Linked DNA regions of Caenorhabditis elegans. The protein of the gene in region 2 interacts with the protein of the main gene of each other region in a pairwise test. Each region holds a gene or a part of one and is shown on either strand. Other genes may lie near its edges.

Region 1 (4,238 bases), on a different chromosome or scaffold from region 2:
GTTCAAAGAAAAACATTCATGATGGGGGTTTCAATAATATAAAATTCAAATAACCGAGATCAATACAAATTTACAATTGTGGTTTCATATCTTCGAACTGCTTTCTTGCCTTCTTCAACTCTTCCGACATTGACAACAGATCCTTGACTCTCGAGAACTTCTTCGGATCACGACGAATCAGATAGTGAATGTCCTCAAGTGCCATTTTATCCGGTTTTCCAACTTTCATCGCCAGTTGGCATAACTCTTTGATGTAGTTTAGGACAATGGCCTCAAGAGTGTCCAGGGTCTTGTCGTATGGCTCCTGAAACATTTATTTATAAACAATTCAGGAAATTATCAATCGGAATCTTAGAAAAACCGCTCATTTAATTTCTTTTTAATTTGTTATAGAAATGCAAATAAATTTTGATTCAAAAAGTTGCACAGCCCTGTTACCAACCTTATCATCTCCAAAGCCATAGACCATTGATCTCAAATCTCGTCTCAGCACGTGCTTCTTATCCTCCGGATTTACCACCTTCTCCTTGTCATCTTCGGCATCCGAGCCGAACAGATCCTCTTCGTCATCCATTTTTTAAATTCTGAAATTAATTTAAAATTGGTCTGAAATTTTTTAAAGTGAAGTTAATTAGATATATAATAAGTTTTCGACAACAAGAATTGCAATACAGTCAATTAAAATATTAAAAATTTCTGAATAATTTATCACGTTATTTGGAGAAGAAACCGACTTATGGAAAAAAATCTAGTACATCAGTGGGTGAAAAAACGAGGAAAAATCAAAGAAAGGCACATGAAAAAGAAAGGAAGAATGATAATTGAGCTACTTATTACAATATTTTTGAAGTGAAAAAAATCCGAAAAACCATATAAAGCATAATACGTTAATCATTTTCCTAAAATTTCAGTCAATAAACAGAAAATTGGGAAAGGAAAAATCATAGAAAGAAGAAAGTGTGCAGATCCGATGTATAAAGTGATGAGTGTGTGGATGAGAACAAGAAATTAAGTGAACAAAAAATGAAAGTAAAACACATGCAAAAGGAAAGAGCCGTCTAGTAGATCACAGTTATAAGCCGCCATATGGGTGAGCTTATCCTCGGCGAAGTTTTTCGTTGATTGTGCGGACTATCATTGTCGTTTGGAAAACCAGTTGGTTGGCGGACACGGATACCTGCAAACATTGAATTTAGGCTCAGAATTTGTTTTAAAAAAATGGATTTTAATATTATTCAAGAATTTAGTTTGATTTTCCCAAGATTTGGGGAAAATTTACAGGTTTTTATTTTAAAAAAAAGTCCAAATTTGCCGAATATCGATGTGAAAAAATTAAAAAAAAATCTCCCTGATTTTATATTTCAGTGCGAATTTTTTCCCAGAAAAACCGGGGCTTTTGAATTTTTCACATAGATATTCGGAGTCAAGGACAAATTTCGACGCATTTAAGTAAAAAAGCACATTTTTTCCCACGAACCTGATTTGCATTCTGATCTTTAAAATACGTCTTCAAAGTGTTACTGAATCTTTTCGAGTAGTGCACAAATTCCCGTTTACGTTTCTCAACGGCCGGCTGCGCAGTGAGTGGAACAATTCTGTAGACGGCGTTTATTGCCTCAAGAAGTTTCTTGATTGATGATGCGATGAGCTTGATGGTCTCCAGGAAGGCGTGACGATCCGACATTTCTTCGGGAACCCGGGACAGAACACGACGAAGCTCGATTGCTCTGTAATTTTTTTCGTACGCCAGGAATTTTGAAAAAAATTATCTAATTTGATTACCGTTTCGTGAGCTCTTTATAATCAGCATTCTGCTCATATCCACTGACAATCAAATCATTTGTCGGCGAGGTGTCATGCATTCTCAGATAGGATTCCTGCAGATTAACGCTCAATTCCGAGTCATCCAGCAAAACTTTTGTGAAATCATAGAGAAACGACGGAGAAGCTTGTTCACAAGTGGTCAGTGCAGTGTGCAGTTTCTGAATAATTCTTTGTTAATTTATTTTTTTTCGTTTAACAGTATAAAATTCATAGAAAATATTCTTATATAGAATAGCTTACGTTTAGGGCGAGAGAAGCTCTTGGATCATCACGATGTTGCTGTCTAAAATATATTTTTTAAATTATTATGTTTAAAAACTGATATTTCTTGAAACCCACTTAATTTTTTCCATCACAGGACTGTACAGGCATTGATATGTCATCGCTCCAAGATATCCACCCTCTTCGTTCATTGTGAAACTGCTGAAATGAAAATCATGATTTTTGAGTGAATTTTAAGAGGAGAAAGCTGTGTTAAAAAAGGAAAAACCCGCATACGATCGATTTGCATCGCAAATACATACAGAAATCAAAAGCGGAGAGAGACGCAGATAATAAGGCGAAAAGTTGGAGAAATACAGAGGAAAACGAGGAGAGTAAATATAGGAAGAAAGTGAACGGTCGGAAAGGAATGTGAAAGCAGAATTCGAATTCCTTGGAGAAACTTATGAGTCATTATAATAATAATAATAACGGTTTTTATCGGTTTCGCATGATAACCCACCCAGAAATCGATGCAATTGTTTTTTAATAGTTGAATTAATATTGTGAAATATAAGAAATAACATTAAATATGTTTTTTACTTGAAAAAATAATGAAAATCGCAAAAAATTGATAAAATCTGTTAAAAAAAGAACGAAAAAAAAAAAATTTAAATGAAATGTTCGCATTGGAGCGCACTTGCTGGCACCAGAGATGCTGCAGATTTCGAGATGAACAATTCTGGAGAACAAAGTTCTTGGAAAAATTTTAATATTCGACGTTAAAAATATATTTTATTAGTGCTTAATTTTTTAAATAATCAATTCAATCGCGAAAATGTGAACAAAATGTTTTTACTCAACTCAGACCTCGGTGGAGGTAAAATTTTGCAAATTTTGAAATAATGAATCTTTCAATTTTTAGCCTAGTGCACTAGCTAGTGTTATTTAGACATATAAATGCAGATTTTGCAAATAATAATCTCTGAGAATAAACAACGATTTCCAATATTCAATCAGATTTTCCTGAAAATATATTTTTTTAATTATAATTGTCCAGATCTGGCCAGATAAATTTCATGATTTTTCCCAAAGAATACGGTAGCAGGTCTCGTCAAATTTTCGCACACAAAAAGGTGTGTGCCTTTAAAGAGTACTGTAACTTCAAATTTTTGTTTCAGTGGATGTATTAAAGTTTTTTTTGTAAACTTTTCGAAAAATAAAAAGTTCTTCATCGAAAAATTAGTGGAAAATTATTTTTTCGTAAATCAATAAAAAGAAATTACAGTAATCTCTAAAGGCACACTCACTTTTCTATTTAATGATGGTGTTTCGCGACGAGACCCGGTGCCGTATTTCTGGGGACTCTATTATATTTTCAGCCCACCAGTGAAGGATATCTGTCAATAAAATTATGATATAGTAAAGAATCTCCGGAAAACAAGAAGTCACAAGTCCAATTCCCATCAATCTGCGTCTCAAAATCTTCCGTAATATCTTTTTTCTCCCGGCTGTCCGTCTCATCTTCCGTGTCATTCCTGCCGATCAATAGGAGATCCACTATTCACACCTTTGTTACGCTTCAGAGTATATTAACAATAGAGTCGAGAAAAAAACATTGAAATTTGTTTCATTTTATTGTCTTTTCTTTTCTAAATTGCTCTCAAAAAATGTGCTGATTTCATTTTTCTAGATGTTTCCTTTGGTCAAAGGTTTCGAGAAAAAACCAGTTCCCATTCCAAAAAATAGGTAATAAAATTGCGAACATGTACATTCAAGGTATAGACTCCCAATCAGGAAATCTCATTTCCTGTGATAATTCTGTTCTCTGACCGAGTTTCATCTTTTTTTTTTGTATTTGGTATTAATATATGGTCAAAGGCATAGCCGATCATAGATCAAACATTTTCAAAACAAAATAAAACTTGTTGTTTGATGATTCAATTTTTTCAAATTTTCGAATAATTGTTTAGCCTGTTTCCAAAAAATGTTAACTTTGAACTCGCGCTCATTCTTATTTGACGACATTTACGCCAAAAACACGGTACCCGGTCTCGACACGACAAATTTTTGTTTCCTGCTAAATTCGACAAGGTGTGCTCCTTTAAAGAGTACTGTAATAAAATCGTTGTAGAATTTTCACCGATTTTACATATGTTTGAGATTCCTATAAATAAAAATATTTTATGCACAAAATGTAAGAGCAATTCCGT
Region 2 (5,025 bases):
GATATTTTCGAATCAAATTGTTTTTGTGATTGATGTTTTGTAAACGTTTTTCGATTTTCTTGATCACTTTTTCTCTATAGAAGTAATACTATCAATTTTGGAATATGTAATCTGCAATTGTAGGCCAAAAACAACAGTTTTCTCTGATTATGAGAAATACGTTTTATTATGAATGCTACTTTTTTTGAGCTCTAAATACCAAAATGAGTTATTTAAAATGTTCAACTACCGCCGTATTTCTAATAGTCTAGCACGCTCAACTGCGTCGGCTCATATCTCGAATACATACATTTAAGTTCATCAAAAATTGATAATTGCCAAAAACATTTATATTTCTCATACTATAGTTTTTAAAATTCTTTCTTTGGTATCTCAAAAATCATCCGAGATAAAAGGTGTCAAAGTAAATTAATGTGTGCAAGACTATTAGAGGCATTCCGGGATGTATCCAGAGGGTTATCTGACTGTCTGATCTTCAGTTATAGTGGAAACATCTTGCAGTACTTTGTGACGTCACAAATGTTTTTCTACTGCTATGTCACAGTAAACTGTTTGTATTCTGTTGTAAGAAGTATTTCAGGGATTTCAGGAAATTGAATAGTGAAGTGTCTCTACCGTATTCCTCTATTTATTAGTATTCTACTTTGTCAGCTTTTATATAAGTTTAACATACAACATATTTTTCATTCGCTGTTCCTATCGTTTGTAGTTAATTATTTATTGATTCAAAATAAGCCTTTCAGAATGATGTAGCAGGATGCAAAATTAATAGAGGTGATACGGTAAGCGTTCAAAACGGTCAGACTCGGTTACTGTAGTTCTAAATGTGTTCACTATCCGCGCATCATGTACGTGATCACGCGTGAATGAGTTTCTTCGTTTTCTCTTGTTTTACCAACAAAAATTGTTTCGTATTCTTCCAACGTGGACTATTTCTATTATTTTTCAAATCATTTCACATTAAAATGTTTTAGTCATCACAATCAATGACAACGACATCATCAGACGAACTTCCTCGACAGGCGGACGACGATTCAATGAAATGGGATCGAATTTATATTCAGGTAAGGTTGGAGAATACCTCCTGCAATGTCCAAAGTAATTGTAAAACACTATTGACCGTTGAGATTATAAAAACTTTTGCGGGCCGGCCGACTGACACAACAAATATGAATAATCCGAAATTGTACTATTTTCCTCGTTCTGTCATTTTCTTCCTTACGTGTCTTTCACTCCGAAAAATGACCTCTTTGAGCACAAAAAGCTGAACTGACTTTGTATCGAATTTCACCCATTTCGCGACTTCTTTCAAGTGTGCACGGTCTGAGAATTCGGTCTAGGGTTTTCACTGCTTTTTCGATTTCTCGATTTTCTCAACTTCTTCAAACATGGCGGCAAAGTTGACCAGCATCTCTGTTGTTTTCTAAAAATAATTTTTTTTTTCAATTTATCTTATAAAATTTTGTAAAACGTATAATTCTAATGATTGCGTCCAAAAATACCTAATGTTTCACAAGACATTCGAAATCAGGTCGGATTTATTTAAAAAAATATATATTTTAAGAGTTAAAGATTTTTTACAAGAGTTAAAAAACGCTGGATCAATTAAATCTGTTCGGTTTTGCTCTGAACGATCACACTTGTGTTTGTCGAGCTGTCATTTCCCTTCTTATTTCCACAGACGAAACTCTCTTTACTCGTGTTATCGAAATGCATCACGCATCAGGAATTTTTATGGCATAATTCTGCCTCCTTATCGATTCGCTCGTTTCACCTATCGTTTTATTTTTTTGGCGCCTTCTGTCCTTTCTCTTCGATTTCCTTTTGATTTGCATTTTCGCTTCTGAAAAATCGGAGCTTGTACAATTTTCATTAATTCAGGTATGGACGATCATCGTTTCACTGACACAATTTTGAGAACAACTAATGTTCAATCTGCGATACAAAGATTTGAGAAACGAGCCCCTGTTTCTGCTCCACCATATCGAGAATCTGAGCCATTCAGAGAAGTTTTGAAAGATGAACCGGCACCACCATTTTTACAAAAACAGAATTCCTATGATTCACCGTTGTTTGTCAACACTAACATTGTGTATCCTGTGGAACAAAATTCATATTTTCCACAAATCACACCTCCACGCGAGCATGTGACATATGGAATTATGAATGATTCCAAAATGGATGATTCTATCGATAGTGCCACGTTGAATAGATTCGAGACTGGTTTCAAACCTTCGAATTTCGGAAAAACCATACAAGGAATTTACAACTCAACAGAGCATCCACAGCAAACACCAGAAGTTGTACTACCATCGAGTTTATCAGTTGATCTGAATGTCATGTCACCTGAAGTGTCACCTCCAAAACCAGCTGAACGGCGGAAGGTGGTTAAACCAATTGAAGATAACAGCGTGAGTCGGAATTGAAAGCAGTGCATTATTATTTTCGAAAAACAATGTGACTCTCATATCAAAGTGTTTTATATTTATGACCGTTTTCGAATAATTTTCCCATTTTTAACAAAAAATGTAGACCTTGGATGGTTGACCAGATACATAAATCATTTTATAAGCATAAAAGATAAACCTAGTTGTACAAATTCCTCTTTCTGATGTCTTTACTAGCTAAATTTCATTGGAAATTTGCGAAAACTGGAAGCAATTTCACTAAAAATAAATATTTACCACTGTCTCTGCAAGTTGTCGTAAGATGTGGTGTTTGCGTACACATTTGAACTCTGAGCTGATGATTTATTTTCTTTTCCGTATTAGCTCAGTTTTTATCATTCCTTCCCCTTTTATTGACAAAATACTCGACCTCGAGTGAATTTTCAATGGATTTCACAAATTTTGGGTCCGAAATTGAGGTAAGCTTATGAATTTTCAACCGAAAACCTTTAAAAAATCTGTTTGTTGAGGGTTACAGTAGATATTTGCTCGGCACAAAAGTGCAATTGTGTGTAGTGTGTGTTTTTTAGTACTCTTTCCGTCATAGTCAAATACTAGTTTTGATTCCGATTCGAATTCAGGCAATTAGAGAGTGAAATTGTGTCGAATAATTGAGTGTTCCATTTCTGAACTGATACGCCACCACATGCATTCAAATTCAATTTGTAATGCCAATCACATTGAAACAGAAATGTTTTACGGGATTCTTATTCATTTCTCAATGGTGTCCTCATTCTGGCGCTTCCTTCCTGAAGTACGTCTACGTTCTCTTCCGTACGTCGTTCCAATGAATTTGTATCCGGCGGACGCGTACTGCGTGATGGTGGGAGGGTAGCCAACCGAAGCAAAACGTCCTCTCTCGTTCGGTTGACGAGGACTGTACGGCCGTCTGCCATACACTAATCTGTCGCTTTTCTCCTCATTTTCGATGCATTTTATCCTTCTGGAGTGGGGGCTTCTAATCCAAAACTTCGCTCAGCATCTCCCATTCTCTTCGATTTGTGTCACTTTCCAAGAAATTTATGAATCTAATCCCATAACAGATGAAGATGGTTTAAATGTGCGAAGTAATCATTCTTCTTTCAAAATCGTTACTACGTTGGAATGCAGTCTGTTTGCTCAAAACGTTTAGTATCCTCCTCCTTTATTCTCCCAGTTTCTCGGCCGTTTTTTCAACTGCTCGGAACGTACGCGATTTGCAAAATCGGACGGTTTTTGATCAGGCAGCGGTAATTAGCACTCTAATACCGTTCACACGTTCTTTCTCCACGTTTGAATACACAATTGCAAAGACTTTGTATTACTTGTGAAATTATTTATTTCATGACGTTTGTCGTTTTATTGTCAACTGCAATCGCCACAAAATATTATCTAGACGTTTCATGACTCTTTATGCTCCGGTTCGATATTTTTTCTTGGAATGGACACGTTTTCCAGCCCCACCCTTATTTAATCTCATACATATGTCTGATTCCACATGAACAAATCGAGTATTGATGCTCCAAAATCGCTACACTTGGGTTTCCTAGCCTATCCCGCTTCTTTCCTTCCCGCACAGACCACCACAGTTTCGGAATGTTTGAACAACACGGTGTGCTGCTGTTGCCGGTGTGACAGCGGCCCCCCGATGGACGGGAAATATCGAGAGATGGTGAGAAGCAGAAATAGAGAAGAAATTGTACGGAAGAGTACAGTTTGGTGGTGAGAGAAGGCGCAAGAATCGGACGGAGGTCTAGTTATGTTTGTAGTCCCAAGGCGTGTATTATATTCAGAAATGTGCTTATACGTCTTGTGAGCATTGCTTAGCGCTTAAAGTGATTTTAAATCGTTCGTATAGCTGAAATTTAATCGAAAATTAAAAATTTTCTTAATATATATTGAATCTCCTCTCTGTGTTCATTTTAATCACCTGTAGAAACGCATAAAGAGTAGAAAGTGAAAAGAGGGCGGGCAAGTTAAGTGTTTGATTCATCATTAGGCGCAAATATAGTTAGGAGCATAAGAGGAGTGTCGTGTGTCTAATCAGCAACTAGTCATACTCTGCAATCTACATACCACGCTCATTTTCTATCGATTTCCGTGTCTCTAACACCGTTCTGTTTGAAAAAAACTGTTTTTATTTTGGAGAAAGAATTTTACTATACAATTCAGCTTTCACTATGACGTTTGCTAATTCTGTAAGTTTTTTTGCTTCATCTTTTAACTTGCTTCATAAGCATAATAATTTGAATTATAATTGAAAAATGTTATTGGCTGTGCAGCCCTTTCTCTTTTTCTCCGCAAAAAATTAGTTTTAATAATGGTCTCGATAATCTTTTTTCTTTATCGAAGAAAATATTAAATGATCACCACACTTTAAAAATGCATTTTATTTTACATCCTCGTATAGTTTTCAGTATGTCTGTCGATATTTTAATACTATTTGAGTCACATTTGGGTTTGTGTACATGGGACAGTCATAAATATGAATCACGTCTCGCATATCGTTTTTTTTGTAACTGGTTTTTCTAACAGCACAAAATCATTATTTATTATTTCAATACATTCTACAAATTTTGAAAAAAAAAACAATTATTTT

What was found.
Region 1: the proteins of gck-1 (region 2) and ccm-3 interact in a two-hybrid assay, tested with the Caenorhabditis elegans proteins (2 studies listed by BioGRID).

What each region holds. Positions count from the first base shown.
Region 1 is NC_003280.10:10,605,029-10,609,266, forward strand, and holds ccm-3 (Programmed cell death protein 10 homolog), read right to left. Parts: upstream 2,248-4,238; 5' UTR 2,238-2,247; coding exon 2,164-2,237; intron 2,108-2,163; coding exon 2,065-2,107; intron 1,983-2,064; coding exon 1,783-1,982; intron 1,728-1,782; coding exon 1,478-1,727; intron 1,178-1,477; coding exon 1,097-1,177; 3' UTR 689-1,096; downstream 1-688. Other genes in the region: taf-13 (Transcription initiation factor TFIID subunit 13), read right to left, coding at 71-304, 443-574. UniProt on the Caenorhabditis elegans protein: Involved in excretory canal elongation during postembryonic development. Plays a role in promoting Golgi stability, ER integrity and vesicle transport probably by regulating the activation of Rho GTPase cdc-42. Involved in fertility.
Region 2 is NC_003283.11:8,946,825-8,951,849, forward strand, and holds the start of gck-1 (Germinal center kinase 1), read left to right. Parts: upstream 1-1,879; 5' UTR 1,880-1,883; coding exon 1,884-2,411; intron 2,412-2,660; exon of another isoform or gene 2,661-2,833; coding exon of another isoform or gene 2,834-2,866; intron 2,867-3,159; exon of another isoform or gene 3,160-3,421; intron 3,422-3,913; exon of another isoform or gene 3,914-4,606; coding exon of another isoform or gene 4,607-4,624; intron 4,625-5,025. UniProt on the Caenorhabditis elegans protein: Serine/threonine-protein kinase which is required for normal oogenesis and suppression of germline cell apoptosis. Inhibits phosphorylation and thus probably activation of mpk-1 during pachytene stage.